Linked DNA regions of Drosophila melanogaster. Changing the gene in region 2 together with the main gene of any one other region gives a genetic interaction. Each region holds a gene or a part of one and is shown on either strand. Other genes may lie near its edges.

The links.
Region 1: of Uba1 (region 2) and Dcp-1, changing one enhances a phenotype caused by changing the other (phenotypic enhancement), as found in Drosophila melanogaster (one study listed by BioGRID).
Region 3: of Uba1 (region 2) and Debcl, changing one suppresses a phenotype caused by changing the other (phenotypic suppression), as found in Drosophila melanogaster (one study listed by BioGRID).

The regions. Positions count from the first base shown.
Region 1 is NT_033778.4:23,549,417-23,554,090, reverse strand, and holds Dcp-1 (death caspase-1), read right to left. Parts: upstream 2,779-4,674; 5' UTR 2,369-2,778; coding exon 2,217-2,368; intron 1,791-2,216; coding exon 1,228-1,790; intron 1,168-1,227; coding exon 911-1,167; 3' UTR 544-910; downstream 1-543. Other genes in the region: pita, read left to right, coding at 3,055-4,143, 4,200-4,674. UniProt on the Drosophila melanogaster protein: Involved in the activation cascade of caspases responsible for apoptosis execution. Proteolytically cleaves poly(ADP-ribose) polymerase (PARP). Loss of zygotic DCP-1 function causes larval lethality and melanotic tumors.
Region 2 is NT_033778.4:9,687,766-9,695,020, forward strand, and holds Uba1 (ubiquitin activating enzyme 1), read right to left. Parts: upstream 5,564-7,255; 5' UTR 5,276-5,563; coding exon 4,517-5,275; intron 3,939-4,516; coding exon 2,217-3,938; intron 2,155-2,216; coding exon 1,846-2,154; intron 1,789-1,845; coding exon 1,003-1,788; 3' UTR 524-1,002; downstream 1-523.
Region 3 is NT_033778.4:6,647,109-6,653,385, forward strand, and holds Debcl (death executioner Bcl-2), read left to right. Parts: upstream 1-1,545; 5' UTR 1,546-2,170; coding exon 2,171-2,470; intron 2,471-4,880; coding exon 4,881-5,024; intron 5,025-5,079; coding exon 5,080-5,538; 3' UTR 5,539-5,734; downstream 5,735-6,277. Other genes in the region: Opbp (Optix-binding protein), read left to right, coding at 6,207-6,213, 6,265-6,277.

The DNA of each region.
Region 1 (4,674 bases), about 14 Mb from region 2:
AGTGCGACCAGGTTACAGCCCAATTAGTTGGCTAATCATTGGGCTTTCCCTTTTTCCTCTTGTGCAAAGAAAAATGAAAATTTCTGCGATTTGGGGCAACTGTACTGCGCCACACGCACACTAGTGCGTCAACAGCTGATCGCCCTGACAGCTGTCAGTTGTTTTTGGCGCTAAATTCAAATCGAGATCATATTTAAATGCATTAATAGTTCCTTCGATACTTATATTTACGCAAAAATCATCATTTGGTTAATTTTATTAATTTCCTAAATTATAAAATTAGGAAATAAATATAAAATTTAGGAAATTAATAAAATTAGAGTGAGAAAAATCTTAATTAATCACTCTTAATAATGCTAATTTGAATTCCACTAAAGTTTCGTACAATTTCACTGATTCAGCCAACCAAGTCTTCATTGTTATCTTTTATTTCCCATATCAACGTACTCAATCTGGCCCAGACAGCTCCTGTCTTCAAACAAAGTTGCTTAGATCGAAATTACCCATCTACGTTCAATTGGGGAGATACCTTGCTATGTTTTTAATTCATTTTTATTCATATCAAATATAAATGTTTGCGTGTACATAAAAGTATGTATGTATGTATAAATCTTCATTGTATTATCTTATCTCAAATTTGTGGGTTTTCTATTGGCAAGGTCTCGCTTATGCATACGGAAGTCATCTAGTGGGTAAATGGGTAACGAATTTCGTCAATGATAAGGCCGAAATGGGCATGGGAAAGGCAGGGGAATGAATGAAAGGGAGTCGGGTGCTTCAATATCCATCGGGATAATCGCACGCGTCAGCTAAAACTAAACTTGAAGTGAATTGGAATCCAACGTGAATGATTGCGGGCGATGGTTGTACAACCTCTGTTGAAAGTTCTTCTTCGAAGGGAGATCTCTTCCTAGCCAGCCTTATTGCCGTTCGGCTTGTCGCCGAAGCGCAGTATGCGCGTCAGCATGGAGGTGAGGCACGGTATTTGCTTCTGGCGATCCATCATCGGTGTGGCGGGCACGTTCGACTCAAAGTCTAGGGCTACGCGCTGGTTAACGAATGTAAGCAGGGTGAGCAGGTCGTACTTTTTGCCATTGGCGTTCAGCTCGCGGATCAGCGATTGCATGTACCAGGAGCCATTGTTGATGTTGCGCCAGGAGAAGTAGCCTAACAGGACGAGATTGCTAGTGAAATTCACTAAAATAGTTACCTAATCATATTCCTTACCCGGAATGGTCGAGTAGGAGAAGAGAAAGTCGGCGTGTATGGGTATCTTGTAGCTCGTCGAGGACTCCCCGTCCGTCTCGGTAACGCCCTTCTCCAGAGTGATGCCTCCGTCCAAGCGATCGCCCTGGCAGGCTTGGATGAAGAACAGCTTCGGCTTGCCCGCCAGCGAGGGGCAGAAGGTGGCAGTGAAGTAGTGCCAGATGTTGTCCAGCTTGTACTGCGTATCCTTGGCGTACAGGTAGCCGTGCTCCCCGTGCGAGAGTATGGCCACCGCAAGGCAGTCGTTGTCCGTGTGGTCCAACTCGGCGGCCTTCCCCACGTGCTTCAGGATGTCCCTCAACTTGCAGTCCTTGTGCACGGACACCGCGAATCCCAGGTTTTCAAAGGCCTTTTTCAGCTCTTGGGCATCGACATTTGTTCCGGTGCGGCTCTTCAGCGAGGGTATGTCGAAGAATTCGTGGTTGAAGATCAGCGCAACTCCGCGGTGCTTGTGACTCATGTTGTATTCGCTTGCATATCGTTCCACGGGCATTCGAGCCACAAACTTGTTGGCCGGCAAGGGGCTGGGGAAAAAGAAATCAGAATTATAATAGCCATTTGGGAAGCAGCATGATAAGATAAGGTAATCGGCGAAATAATCGATGATTGGGTATTTATTTATGTAATTATTTTCAAATATATTTGTGAATAAGACTAAATAGAACAATAGAATTAAAGTCAAGTGCTTTCAAACTTTGTGACTTCAGCCATTTTAACAACATTATAAAGACAGATTGACACATTGATTTTAAATGTTGGCAATAGACAGTATAAATAATATAAAAATAATAGATTGTGGAATGAAAATGGAATAAATAAAAAAAAAAGAGCTTTATATGCTGCATTTGAAACTAGGATATAGCAGTTATGCCAGTACTTGCATTGATAACAAAACACAGAAACATAAAGAGAGAGATGGGAGAGGGAGAGAGCGAGGCACATGGACTCACCTCGCTGCAGTTGCACCACCAACAACAAGAGACTCCGGCGTACAGCCCTTGGCATCGGTATTATCAGCCATTATAAAGCTGCCCCGATTTTCCGATCCATTTGGGCTGCGAATGCCTACTCCGTAGTTTCTGGTTACGCACTCGTCGGTCATCTTGCGCCCCTTTTCTTGCTTAAGTTCTTGTTTTGATTGTTTGCGTTTCTCCTTGTGTTTCCTCTTGCCTTTTGTTCGCTCCCTCCTGCTCCTCCCTCGCTCACGCGCTGCTCTTTCCTTCCTTTTCTCTCTCCGCAGTTGTTGCGCCCTTTTTGGTCTGATTCTTGTTTTATTCTGACACTGCTTCTGTTTTCTATTGCTCTGCGTTGGCCAAACTTTGCGCAGCGCAGCTGTTTTGCGCTTCTCAGCCAGCTTTTGTCGGCTTTCGATCGAGCGAATGTCCTTTTATGGCTCACAGTCGGACGTGTTTAATCAATCAATTAACGGAGGTTAAGCGTGCTCTGAGCGGCGAAAACAAACTGCGATTGCATGTAGTCGTGTGTATGCACTTGCCGCCAAGCGGCGATGGCCGCTCGTCGATAGCACTAATCATCGATTGGTGGCCATCGATTAATTTGTAGAGGGTGTTCTGGTCCTCGGCGCCTTTGTTTAAATTTAAACTCTAACATTATATTGTTCATTTTAAGGGAAAGAGACATTTATGGCGTTTAATTTATTATGTAGCGAAAAACATATAGGGGTGTTCCACGAATATTACCTTATTATTTGGCTTAAGCACGGACTTCCCCGAATAAATGTAGCTTCCTAGTCACTCACACATTTATCTAATCTAACATTAAAAACAGGTCTACGCCGGCGACGGAATGCCGGGGCACATCTGTCTGGAGTGCCGCCTCCTCTTCGAGCACTGCTACCGCTTCAAGCAGATGTGCAAGCGGGCGGAGACCCTCCTGCGCCAGTATCCGCTCACGGGTAACTGGCCATCGCCGCTGGAGAAGCCCCGTGCGCCCATGACGATGGTGGCTTCCAAGAAGTTGTTGGTCGTGCCAGCAAAGACAGCCGAGCCAAGCGAAACGCCCAAAAAGCTGCTGAACACAATGGCCAAATCCAGTAGTCAGGTGATCATCGAGGACGTCCAGGTGCTGGAGAGCGCCATGGTGACCCCCAGGACGGTAGCCGGTTCCTCTCCAGTGCCACGTCGTTCGCACGCCTATGAGCTGAAGGTGGATAACAACCAGGAGCTGTCCATGGACGATGTGCAGAGCATGCTGGAGGATATGGCCAGTGAGCTAGAGAAGGAGTTCCCCGATATCCCCCAGAAGGCATCACCCGTCAAGCCGAAGGTGCTGAACAAGTCCTCGATTAGGATCTTGAACAAGGGACCCGCCGCTCCGGTGGAACCGCGCCTGGCCACACCCAAAGTCAAGCGAGATGATAGTGGCAATGTGGCCATAGTGACAGAGGTTCTGGACTCGGATCTGCCATTGGACGATCAAGATGATCCGACCAAGAACGCCGAGAAGGTGGCCACCGATGTGTTCCCCTGTCCCGATTGCGAACGCTCCTTTCCGCTGCAGCAGCTGCTCGAGATCCATCGGCTGAATCACACTCGCTCGCGCAGCTTCCAGTGTCTCCTGTGCGAGAAGAGCTTCTTCTCCAAGTACGACCTGGCCAAGCACAACTTTGTGCACACCGGCGAGCGGCCATTCAAGTGCGCCATCTGCTCGAAAGCCTTCACACGGAAGGCATTGCTCCATCGCCACGAGCGCACCCACACGGACGTACCCAAGTTCATCTGCGTGTACTGCGAGAAGCCCTTCCTTTCGCGCCAGGAGATGGAGAAGCACGCCGAGCGACATCAGAAGAAGCGTCCGTTCCAATGCGGTGTCTGCACCAAGTCGTTTGCCTTCAAGCAGGGATTGGAGCGTCATGAGGTGGGTTGACAAGCATATTTGGGATTGCCCCGGCTAACGATTATGTCCACTTTCAGACAGTCCACTCCACCAATCTTCCCTTCCCCTGTCAGCATTGCGAGAGAAGCTTTTCCACCGCTTCCAAGCTGGCCCGCCACCTGGTTGCCCACGCCGGGAAGAGAGCCTATCCCTGCAAGTACTGCCACAAGTCCTACATGCTGTCGCATCATCTCTCGCGCCACCTGCGCACGCACACGCAGACTTCCGACGCCTCGTTCGTGTGCAGTGAGTGCAAGGTGTCGTACAGCAACTATAACGACCTACTGGATCATGCGCTCATTCATGCCACCGCCAGCCTGAAATGTCCCATGTGTCGCAAGCAGATCGAAGATATCGACAGTGTCGAGAGCCACATGGACCAGCACAAGCAGAGCGAGCGCCATGCCTGCGAGTTCTGTGACCACATCTTCTTGACGCAGAAATGCCTGCAGCGCCACATCGAGGACGATCATGTGGTGGAAATGGAGCCGTACCAGAACGAGTTCGAAGACG
Region 2 (7,255 bases):
CCAAAACTTTGATTACCCTGCCCAGAACACACTTATTCGACGGATACAAAGCTGATCGGCGCAGCCACTTTCCTCGCCTCGCTTTGTTTTCATTAACTGCATAATTCAAGCAAGTTTGCCAAAAAGCCGCAAAAGGCCAAGAGTGAGATGCGAAACTGCATAACTTTGGCCATACTTCAGTTGCATTGCGTGTAATATTTAATTATAAGAGGACGCCGCCACTCCGCCCAACGCTTTCCATGAGCGGTGCAACTTTACGGCACTTGCCAATTGCACTTTGGTGGCAGCAGCCTCCTTGGGTGCGGGGCGGGGGTGGTATAAACGTCTTGAGAGGGCATAAAATATTTAATTGTGTCACGTAACTTTCTGAAACTGACTGGCGTACGGATAGATGGCATCCCCTATATACTTCACTGGCAGAGCAGTATGCATTACAATTTTAATTTCCGAAGTGGCGGGGGAAATGAGATTACCAGACGTCAAGTGCTGAACGAAATTATCTGAGTCGTCTAGCAGGTCGATTACCATATGAAATATACAGCTTTATTCATTTGCTTTACTCCTTTTAATACAATGACGTAATTAGTTTATGCTTCCATATAAAAAAAATATATGAGTGAAGAGAAATTTTCCGCCTGGCTCATTCAGTTTTCAATTTCCAATTAATCAATGCGATTAAAATCCGCCTTCGGTTTTTCGTAATTCGTTACCTTTACAACTATGCTGAGCAGAGAGTTTCATCAGATGCATTTTAAGTGTTGCTTTTAGTCGAGTCTTTGTATTTCGTATGATGCGTATTATTTTGCCATTCCTTAGAGGATTCACACACATTTTATATAATTTCTAGATCTGGGCTGCTCTCGTAATGGTGTTGTGAAAATTAAAATGCAAACAGCTAGACAGTAACTCCTTCGTTGGAGCTGCGCGATTCCAAAACGCGTCGCCGACAACAAAACGGGATCGTAAAATAATTTAATGGTTAAATTAGGAATATAGACGGGCTTAGGGCAGCGTGTAACGGACGTAGGGCACCTCCACATCCTCGCCATCCACATCGTTGCAGCAGATCTCGAAAACCAGGGATCGCTCGTGTGGCTCCAGGCGACGCTTGGACACGCGACGCACGACCTCCGACATCGGCAACGGCAGTCTCTCAGAGCACTTGGCCTTGGGCATGAAGAACGAGTACAGCATGGACACGCCCTGCGAGAGCATGGTGATCTTAAGCTTCTCATTCTCCTCGAAATAGTTGAGGAATTCCTGCAGCGACAGCTCCCCGGTCACCTCAAAACGGTCCCACAGCGTCCACTCCTTGCCGTAGTATGTGTTCTTGGCGGCAGGAAGCGGCTCAGAGAAGGCCATGAACGGCAATGCCAAGTTGGCGAAGCCGTTCTTGAATTTTACGAGATCCCGGTGGCCGACGATCAGCTTAATCACCTCGAGCACAGCCAATCCAGAGAGCACCGACGTGGTGGTGGCAATAGCAGGTATGATTTTGCCAGCAATCAACTTGGACTTGTGGCGATCCGCTGGCGGAATCTTGTAGTTGGCGGCGCGTAGATTTGAGCAGGCCACAATGAAGTCCATGTGCAAGTTACTGTCGTCGTCCTTTTCAAACTCAAGTGGCGTGATCTTGGAGCTTTTGTCGGCGTTCTTTAGCAGCTCTGAAATGATCTTGTCAACGCGATCCTGGTCCAACTCGCCGTCATCGAAGTTATTGGCCGAGGCGGCGGCTGCTGCCTCATTGGTTTCTATTTTCACGCCCGAACGGGGTTTAAACTCGGGCACCTATAAATCAATAATATCAGAAATGGTCCCCGACGGTATTAATCTCGAACAACTAACCTTAACCTTCTGTACCAGCTCTGCGATCGTCTCGCGATTGCGAACCTGCTCAATGCCATAGACCTCAGCTCGAAGATTGGCGGCTGCGTAGATAAAGTCGAGGTGCATGGGATCGTTGACATCAAAGACCAGGGGATCGGGGCACCGCTTGGGACCAGACCAAAACGGCTGACCACTGGAGGTGATCTGATCAGGTGGGAAGTTAAAGAGCAACTGCTTAATCTGGTTAACATATTGATCCTCCCAATAAAGACGGGCCCACTCCACGCAGTGCGCGAAACTCTTGGGTTTGTCGTCGATCAGAGCTTTCTGTAAAAATAAATTACCATTAAGTACAACATATTAGGCAAAGAAGTAAATTCTATCCTTACCTTGATGGAATCGAGGATCTCCAGAGGCTGAATACCAGGCAGCTTGGCGATTCGCTCGGTGAACTGAGGATCGGCGATGTACTGAGCAGCATTTTCTGCAGACTGCTTGAAGACGCCCTCAAAGGCGTCACGCGCCCACTGCAGAGTGTGCTCGATGGCATTGGGGAAGTTCTTCAGCGTGCAGATGGGAATACTCTTTTCTGGGGGATCCTGGGAGGAGCTATAAGATTCGGTGGCAAAGGGCACAATCACCTGAACGTTGCCCAAAGTTCCCAGAGTTCCGGTCTCGACGAGCGGAATGCGGTTGAAGATGCATTTGCGATCCATATATATGCGAGCATCCACGTTGTCCAGCGCATTGGCTACACCATCCAACTTTCCAAAGAAATCTTCGGAAAAGACTTTCTCTGTTTCGGCGCCAACGCGCAACTCGTATGCGGTGACATTCACTTCCGGATTCATCCGTTTGATAGCGTCGGCGGCCGTCATTGATTTAGGCTTCTGCACATCATGCGGGCGGAACAGGAACTGCCGGTTCAGATTCGACTTCTCAATGAGATCCATGTCTGTGACGAAAATCTGGCCATTGCCAGTTCCCAGGCCCAGCATTCCAAAGTTTTTCAATAGCTCACAACCAATGGCTCCGGCGCCGACAATAAACCATTTCGAGTCAGCCAACTTCTCCTGGAACTTCTTGCCAAATATGGCAATCTGAGAATCATAGCGCGAGCCCACCGGCTGGGCATCCGCCTCCTCGACACCCTCTGTGGGCAGACACTCCAGGGCGTCAAAGTACAACCACTGGTAGATGGGTGTAAACTTTCCACTGCAGGCCTTAAGCACCTCCTGGGCCACAATTCCACCAACGGCCGCGTCCAGCGGGCACGTATTACCCGAGCAGATTTTGGCGAATTGCAGCACCAGTTTTTCGTCGACTTCCGCGTTGCTGCTGGCTCGGACTACCTCGAGGAAGCTGTTGGCGTCCTCCTCGTTCCAGGGACGCGGTAAGGCTCCATTATGGGCCTTGCGGTAGCAGGAGAGGGCATTGAAGGCCACGTGCAGCGTGGCCGGCGAGTCCAGCTTTGCGAAATCGGAGATCAAAAACTCCGGCTCCTCAGTGGCCTGTGCCAGGGGCTTGAAGCTGATGGTCTTGGGCATCTTCACCTGGGTGGCCACTCCTCCGCTCTTATATTCTCCAAACTTGCTGGTATCACCGATGCTAAATGTGTAGGGTCCCAGCACTGTGATCTTAAGGGGCTGACAACCGTTCAGTTCCTGCATGCCCTGCACCTCCGAGAAGGTGACGTAGTCACCGTCATTAAAACCATGGCGCGTCTCGTCCAGGCAGGTGACGACTCCCTGTGCGTCGTGCGTGATACTAGCTATCATGGTGGAGATCGGCTGTGTGCCATCCTGATCGTAAATGGTAAAGCTCTCGCCAAAGTCACAGAACACCTTGGCGAACAGTCCGCGCGTCTCGGCGATGATCAGAGCAATGCCATTTTCATGGGCAAACTTGGCGATCCTCTGCTGCTCCTCCCCGTCGGAGTTGGTCAGTACCACAACGCGAAACTTGCGCAGGAACTCCTCGGTAAGCGGCCCCGTGTGCGAAACGGTGCGCACATAGTTGTTTAACTCGGCCAACTGGGCGCAAGAGGCCTCCGCACGATTCTTGCCGATATCGGCTTCCGTGAGATAGAATTGCGACGACAAGTCATGGAGCTGCAAGACAAACGAATAATCATTAATATTATATATCAACGGTGATGAAATTAGCAGACGGGAGCCATGACTAACAAAGGAAAATTGGTTCTGTGCCGAGTGTACAGCAAAGACATATTTGTCATTAGAACAAAAAAGTTTTTATGATACAAGAAAACTTTAAATTGAAAGGCTATTAACTAAATAATTGATATATTACGGTTTATGAGAAACTCATAGATCTTAAGTTGAATCTTTCAGTGCATAAAACAAAACCGAATGCGTTGAGCAAAGGGGAATGCAAACACAACGGCAGCGAGCGATGCGCATACGGTTGTCCCGCTCACACACTTTTCGCATGGCGCAGACATTTTGAGGCAAATAGAAAAAGAAGGAAAACCGAATTACACACACAAAACGAATTTTTTGCAAGCAAATAGAGATGTTAACCTAACCTTATTTCGCGCGAAGTCTATGATAAATAAATCAAATAAAAACTGAATGATTCACTAAGACCAGGGATGCCAAGTCAGCCTTTCCGGGCATTTCCCGCGTCCGCCTGGAAAATTATCGATTTTTTCTTCGCCCCACACACATACCCCACAAGTTGCTGTGTCATGCAAGGTGATCGATTTCACGCCGCCCAGAATCACATTCTTGGCTATCTCCAGGCCGAGTCCTCCAAGTCCCGACAGAAGGATATCCGAATTGGCCATCCGACGCATCGCATCGTGACCCAGGACGTACAATTGGCGCGAGTACAGCGATTCATCGATATCTCCGCCGGCGGCGGCACTGTTTCCAGCCATGTTGCTGCTTCCTTCCAGTTGTCGGTTATTAGTGCTGTTATTACTGTTATTGTTGCTGGAGCTGACGTTGTTGTTGCTGTTGCTAGTGGCGGATGCACTGGAGGAGGCTTCTTGCGATTCTATTGTGGTGGTGTTCAGGTAATTGCGCTTCTCCGGCCGCTTGCTTCCTTCCTTTTCCACTGCTGACGAGGTACTAACGTCGTCGCCGCTTCCTTGGCTCTGTTTCAGTTTCTGCTTTTCGGCTCGCTTCGCCGCAGCATTAACGCCGCATGTGTCAGAGGTAGACGACGATACGCACAATTCCAGCTGGTGCTCGCTAGTCGTCTTGCTCTGGCACTTGCCCGAAATGTCAACGCCGCCTGCTTTGTCGTGATTTTCGTAGTTGTTGCTGCTACTGCTGCTCGTTGCTCCGCCGGCTTCTTCCTCTTCCATTCCCATTGCCCCCACTCCGTCACCCAACAACTCTAAACGCCTTTTTTTGGCCAGCGGCGAATGGTCACTTGAGCTGCAGGCTGGCGAATCGGCCATCAATTGCTGACCGCTCGACATAGCTTCCTTGCTGAAATATTGGCAATCGAATTTCCCAGTTGCGGCTGCACCGCTCGCCCTCTCTCTTTCGCACACACGCACACTGCAGAATGCGGACACACGCACACGGATGGACACACAAGAACGCTATTTAGTCCGGAAGTCAATTTCCCGTGGTTTCTGACTCGTTCCAGGACAGCGGATTCTATTTGTGGCCGAATTTCTAACAACGCACTCCCAAAAATACAGAACACGCACGATCGAGTTGCAGTATAGAATTCGCAGTAGTGTGGCCGCGGCTCTTGAAATTGGCAAGCCTGCCCAGTGTGACCGACCTGTGTGAATTGGAGGTGGCACAATATAGATTTTATTGCGATGCTATCGATATTTCCGCAATTGGTTAGTTAGGTTTCTTTTCTATATAATAACGCCCAGATTAATAATCCAATTAATTCACATTATTTTAATAATTAAACAGACGGCTTTCATTTTTATTATTCTATTATTTGTAAGTTGGCCAAGTAAAACCAAATGAATTTACACAATTAAAATTGGTAAGCGGGACAAATAAATCAGATTCAAAACTGATTTGCAATACTCCAATTAGCAAAGAATAGGCAGTGGGTTTAAAGCCCAGCTAAGCGCAGTTAAGACTTAAACCTTTTGTGTCACTAACTTATCTAAATAATATTTTTTTGGAGATCTGGCAGGCCTGAATAGTCTAAGAGGCGGTGTTGGTAAACACAAGTTTACCGCGTATTCAGGATACATTTGAAATCGTTTATGTTTATGTTTTTACTACACCGACTGAAATATTAGATTTTGTTAGAGTTAGTTAATTCTTTTTAAACTTGAAAAAAAAAACGGTTCGGGTTCAAAAAATACAAGCTCGTTTAATGAAAATATGGCTCGCATTTTCAAAAATTTGTTGATTTCAATTGACATTTTTTTGCTATGTAATGTTCGAAATTTAAATGTATATTGGTAATATATTTATTTGATAAAATTTAAAGTGGGTTTTAATTTGTTTCAAACTGCTTATAAATAGATGATAACAGACTTCTGGGTCATTACTTTATTTTTCATAATTGTGGTGCAAGCACAACCCTGATATCTTGATATTATTCATTATAATAATAATAATTATTCATTATAATATAGCTTGGCTTCCCCATTATAAATTCCTATATACTTTGTACTGGTCAAACTTAAAAGTAACTTATACATGTATATGGCTTAAACTTGATATTTTTGAATTATGCCATTTAATAGATCGTTCTTATTTTTCTAAACAATTCAAAAATTGTGTTCCCTTCTTCTATAAATAAAGCAATATTCACAATATTTTGAATAAATAAAATATATTGGAATATTCGTTTTTGTGAGTGACATAATATCGATTGAAAGTTAATTTAGCAAATACATATTTCAAACGTAGAACAACCTCTTAATAGATGTGTGTTCAAAAAACTTAAATTTAATAATTCTTTACTCTCCGATTTCATCAACTTCTAAGCCATTAGCTCGAAATTGAAATATATACTTCAATGAGTTTGCTGGTCATCAATCTGTCGGCACTTGAGGCAATTATCCTGGCCCAAAAACCCCGATCGTGGCACGCGCCCCTCGGCAGTTGTCCCACAAACCAACACCAACTGACCCACGGCGAAGTCCTTCGGTGTCGCTTGGTCCTGGCCGGGTTCAATATCCTTTGAGAGCGGCTAATCTATTTTCGGTCGGGGTTCCCTTTCTGTTCTGTGCAACGGTAGTCGAGCATGAAAATGCGTAAATTTCCACGAAAAACAGAGAGCTATCCTATACCAGTTTTCCGAGCGGCGGGGGTGTGTCCTTTTCAAGTGTTGAGAGCGTGCCATTAGGAAAATGCAGTACGAGGGGCAACAGCTGCAGGATCTAAAGCCCGGATCTTGTCGCACAGTTGCGTAAAATGCATTTTAATTTACGCCTACAGCTGCGCGAAATGCTGCTCCCGTTTTAGAAATT
Region 3 (6,277 bases), 3.0 Mb from region 2:
CAGATCTGAAAGAAAGTATAATATGTAAATATCTTGAGAAGTTAATAAAATGGGTGATAAAGTAATACGACATTGGTAATTATCAAAATAGTCGGTATTCGGATTTGGAACCGGCGGAACGATGCTTCTTAGATTGATCTGATTCAATAGTTCGGTTAGATTCATTTAAAAAATCTTACATAAGCTTAAAAAACGAGAACGACACCTTTATCGTCCTAGTCCGATACACTGCAAAAATTCGCGTATCAGCGTTATTTTTATCAAAAAAATTATCTTTTTGTTACGAACGCGTAAGCAATTCAAGGTGGGATTAATCCTAAATGTGGGGATAGTTCAGCAAACTAACATTATAAAGAATATTTAATTACACACGTTACTCATCATAAAAAAGGATAACTAACCGAGTCGGTCTGGCCATGTCAATCTGGCAAGCAGATTCTACACACGACTGTGGAAGATTGTTTGAGAACGTTGCTATGCAATCGCTAATGCACAAAACTGTTACAACTACATTTTTGAAACAAGTCGGTATTTTTTCCATTTTATTGAATTATTTAGTTTATTGATCCAACGAAACGAAAGTCCTCCTCGAGTAATATCACCTCCAAAAGGGGCGACCGATGCCTGCATCTCTTATCTGAGATCATAGATCGAAGCCTACGGACATTTATCGTTTAGTGATAAAATATTTAAGTTTTTGAACATCACATTTAGCAGTTTGGAGATCGCTCCCTTACAGTTTTGAAATTGGCGGCAATAGCTTTCTGGTTCCATAACAGTTTTAGATCCGAAAGTAAGTATAATATATCTTGAGAAGTTAATCAAATGGTTGTCAGAGTAATACATCGTTGGTGAAAAAAATTTGGTTTCCATTTTACAATTATATCAAAGCAATCGGTATTCGGTTTCGAGAGCGAAGCCGTTATTTCGAAACCGTTACCGCGAACCGGTTCCCAGCGAGCCGCGGCTCGCCAGTCGCGAAAACACAACGAATGCACAATCTAGAGGTGGAGAAATATTGATGTTGGCGGGCATCAAAGCTTCCAATGTTTTTGGCGAAAAACATCGATGTTTAAAATAAAAACAACAAAATTTACCTGCTTAATTTAATGATTATTTTTTAATATTGCTTAAATAAAAAGGCAGTACTTTAAGAAAAGAAAAACAAACTTATTGTCGTCTCCGTTTTCATCAGCCGCTGGTCCAATAGTTGCTCCTATAAAACAAATTAATACAATTAAATGGAAAAGTAAACCAGTATGCATACGAGCAACTGCAAGTGCACAAATCGGGAGTTCAAAACTAACATTTCAGATATTAATCCATGTGCTATGTTATGCTTTTAATAATTGCATTAGAAAATATGGAAAATTAATTTGTACTTACAATTCATACACTTTTCTTCTCCGATGCGCAGTAGAGATGGAAAAACATCGATGTTTTCTCGAAAAACATCGATGTTTATGATTTTTCAAAAACATCGATGTTTCTCCACCTCTACAACGAACGCACAATCACAAGCGCCGCTCGCGAGAACGAGAACGGGAACTCGAAAGAACCTAGATCGCTGATCGGAGAACCGTGGAACCCGTGGAACCGTAACCGTGAAAGTGGGGAATCGAAGATAGAACGGAGAGGGTGGTAGGCCGATTCCCTCTCCCCACTGCCCGTTGAAATTCAGAATACTAAGCTCTCGGTTAAACGCGGCGAAAAAGAAAGCAAGCTCTGAGCGGCTGAAAAAAAAATGAAGTGAAATAAAACTGGGATCGCGGCACCAGCAACAAGTTTTAGTGGCTCTTCTTTGTGCGTTTCGTTCGTGTTTGCTGCCCTGCGCTTTGCTCGCCACATTCGTCGCCGACTTTTATTTTGTTTTGCCCATTTTATCAGAATCGGAGCACCTCCAAAAAAGCCCAAGACGAGCTGAGCCTCAGCTGCGTCGAGGTGAGCTGATCCACTCCGCTCCCCTTTCGTGCGCTGCCCACCGCTCCCCACCGCTCACACCCGATCCCATCCAATCCAATCCGATCCGCTCCGCTCCGAGTGCATAGTGCATGCAAAGTCGCGGGGCTGGGCTTTCGGAATTACACAACCCACATGGGGCAGCGCCAACAAAGGCCTCAGCAGCAACAATAGCGGGCAGCCAAGCATTGCCCTGCCCTCGACTTCGACCATGGCTCCCACCACCAGTCCGCCACCCAAGCTGGCCAAGTTCAAGTCCTCGTCGCTGGACCACGAGATCTACACGGCCAATCGCCGCGGCACCATTGCCACGGCCTCCAGCGACTGGAAGGCGCTCCGCGGAGGCGTCGGTGGAGGAGCAGGAGGACCCGGTAGCGTACCCAATCCCTCTAACGGACGCTCCCTTCACGCCGGCGGACCCATGACACGGGCCGCCTCCACATCCTCGCTGGCTAGCAGTACGCGCACGATGACTAACTACCAGGAGTACAAAATGGATATCATCAACCAGGTGAGGACCAGAAATGGGTGACCAGTGGCTCCGTCCTTTGCTATGGACAATTTGGGAATTATTTAGTTGAAGTCTTGAGAGTATGCTGGGACTGTTGCCTTATAAAGTAAGCGTCTGATTCAGCATATGTTCAAAAAAATTTACGAGTGTTACTCAGCCAATGGAATTGCAAGGAAGTTAAATAGGGAGATATTCACCAGCAAAGTGAGTGTTTCAGCAAGGAACTATTGAATGCCTTGGATTAGCTTTAATCTTTTGCAGAATTCTAGAATTCCGATGGGTATTCTTAAATATAAGACCAATTCGTACACATAGAGGCAGCTATGTATGTATGTATGTGGTCCAGACCAAGCAGATGTCTTCCTTATAGGCCAGAATTCTCTAAAATTATACAATTACAGTCATTTCGGTTGGAAAATTAGAAAAACTAAGCCAAGATAATACAAATTAAATTTGCAAGTGGTTTTAAAAGCATTATGAACTTTAGCGGTCAAGGCTTTGTTACAAATAATTTATATTCTTTTGACAAGTTTTCAGGGCTCATATGCATTGTTTTAATGTTGAAATTTACAATAGATACTTCTTCGATAAATAAGACTTCTTATAGTTCATAGCAATGCGCCTGGTGATATAAAAGTTTAATCAACACAAATACTTAAATTTCTTAAGAGGTTGAGGACATGTGCTTTACTTTAAGGTGTAATTATTTTAAACATGACTCGGTTTCAACCCACATTTAAATATATAGTTTTGCGTTAAAATAGTTAAAAACCTTGATAATAGTTATATATATTAGTTGTTATAGTTATTCTATTCCAGCCTTATGTTGCCACTCAATGTTTTTTTTTTAAATTATTTTAAGTAATATCTAACGTTATCAACATAGAATGAGTCAGAAAATAAACTGGTCATGCATCGGAACATGTGCACATAATTAAAACCGATTTTTGAGACATACATATAAATACAACAGTTTGGTGATTAAATATTCAGCAAGTACGCAAAATGAGAAACACAACACAAAACTAAAAGAAAAAGCTGTTCAAACAAATTGCCTAATTTCGTGGACAAATTTCGAAATTGCCAAAATGAAACGGAACAGACAACTGCAAACAGATTCCAATTTAATGTGCAGAACTGTTTGCGGTATCAACTAATTTTCGATGGCTCTGATCGAGGACGATCCATCCGAATCTCTGCTATCCACCATTTGGGTCTTGACTGTCTCAACTTAATTGATAAGGCAAATATTTTTGTTTCCACCATTCGTTTATCTGAGACTGATAAAACTATTTACTCCGCTCCTCCAGGTGAGCGACATGTAAAGTGTTTATTAAATATATTTGCCTATGTGGTTGCTTTCGCCGGGCTGATAACTTCTTGAGGAATTTATCATTAAGCGCATTGCGGAAGTTTTCTCAGAATGCAGTCCTCTAAAGTAAACGCCATTTTCTCTGACAAATCAGATGGAATGGGCCATAACCAGGCTGCATAGAGGTTTTCAAGGAAAATAATAGCAACTAAAGAAAAGGGAAGAACCGCGAAAGCGCCACGGGTGGAACCATTATAAACAAGTATTCCAAAAATAAACCGACCACTAACTATACAACCCGAAAGCCTCAGGTGATGAATTCATCGAACTCTGGCCATTCAAGTAAATCTTATGGTATTTGGTCGCACCAAACCCGCCAAAAGGAAAGAGTTGGGCGCACAAGTGTTCGCCATAACAAGATCACGTAAACAAATTGACGGATTTATTAATATTTCGCTGGGAGGCTGGACGGGTTCGGAGTAGCTTCGATAGACTTTTCAAGACACTAGCTTCAAGGCCGGTGATTTGGCATGGGCTTGATTTCTTTGGCTGGCCATGTCATAAGTCAAGTTGGCTCCAAAGTGAGTAATTGTCTGTTTACTTGGCTGCGGAATCGTTGGCGTGACGAACGGTAATTGTGCGACATAAATTGTCGAAGGAAACTTGCAACTAAATGGGTCGGAATTGAACGCAACATGGTGGGGAATGCCTTAATTACGCCAAACGTTTCGCGTCTTTCAGATTCCATAAGTAAATTTTTAGTTGTCTTAATGCCTTTCCACAGCACGTGCTGATCGCTTCTTTTGTTTAAGTCGTTGTTCAAAGTTTATTACCGCCATGTGCACCTGCCATCAGTTTGGCTGCATGTTTAGATACTCTGTAAGAGGTGTGATTGAAATAGCCCAGGTGTCTACGGAATCCTGTAAACGGATTCAGAGCGACGTAAATAGAACATATGCATGTTCGCCGGAAAACTCGAGGCAGTCGATTGATATTGTTTAAGTGGCCCGCTGATGGAGCGAAATTGCCTGGCAATGATCAAAGCACTGTAGTTAATTTGATTGTGATTGAACTTTTGGCTTTGTCGTTCTATTCCAGGGGAAATGTCTGTGTGGTCAGTACATCAGAGCGCGGCTGCGACGGGCAGGAGTCCTCAACCGGAAGGTGACACAGCGTTTGCGCAACATCCTGGACCCCGGCTCCTCGCACGTGGTCTATGAAGTTTTCCCGGCACTGAACAGCGTGAGTGTACTGCCATTCGCCATTGAATCTTTTCATAACATGGTATAATCCACAGATGGGCGAGGAACTGGAGCGGATGCACCCGCGGGTGTACACAAACATATCGCGACAGCTGTCGAGGGCCCCGTTTGGCGAGCTGGAGGACAGCGACATGGCGCCCATGTTGCTCAACCTAGTTGCCAAGGATCTTTTTCGCTCCAGCATCACCTGGGGCAAGATAATCTCGATATTTGCCGTATGCGGCGGCTTTGCCATAGACTGCGTGCGCCAGGGACATTTCGACTACCTACAGTGCCTGATTGACGGTCTGGCTGAGATCATAGAGGACGACCTGGTCTACTGGCTGATCGACAACGGCGGATGGTTGGGCCTGTCGCGGCACATCCGACCCCGGGTCGGCGAATTTACGTTCTTGGGATGGTTGACGCTGTTCGTGACTATCTCTGCAGGCGCATATATGGTCTCAAACGTGTGTCGGCGCATTGGAGGTCAACTGTATTCGCTGCTGTTCTAGATTCGCTTGGGATCGCGTCGTTAAGAAATACAATCGTACCATTTAGTCAATGAGAGCTTCAAATCATTCCTGCTTCCATGGGCACCAGTCGTTTAGTAGTATGTAACGGACCCTGTTTTACGTATAATATTGTTATTCCCTTTCTCCTCTTTTTGTACATACAAGGCTATTCTAGGCGCAATAAAGCGTGTGTTGTAAACTTTTTTTTCGAATTTGGCGCGAAGTCTGGGTGTTATGCACGGAACTGCATTACTTTATGTCCGTGTTTAGCAACACTGGAAACGCCGTGGAGGTGCCAATATTTTGAGTACGACAATTCGTCTTTAAAATGTTATAGTGCCCAATCTTTGACTGTTGAACAGTGTATCTGTTACCAGAAATTAAAGACGAATCGACTAACATAATCTCTCAGTTAAACAAAAAATATAAAAGTTAACTTTGCTGACAAAAGTTTTTATAATTTTGTAATTACTGGTTCAATGTTCTAGTCTTTAAAATAAATGTTATTAACATTTTAAATTTTGATTGTTAGCCTTGCCACCCAGCTAAAACGCAAATACTTACCCAGCCCTGTGGCAACGCTTCGATTTCCAAAAACCATTTGTTATTATTGCTGTGGATCTGCCCATTATTATTTGTTGTAAATAAAGATTGGAGCAAATTATGCCATGTCATGTAAGTGCACTGATTCCGTGGGTATGAACGTCGAGTAACATGCACTTGCAGCGTCCAACCAGGC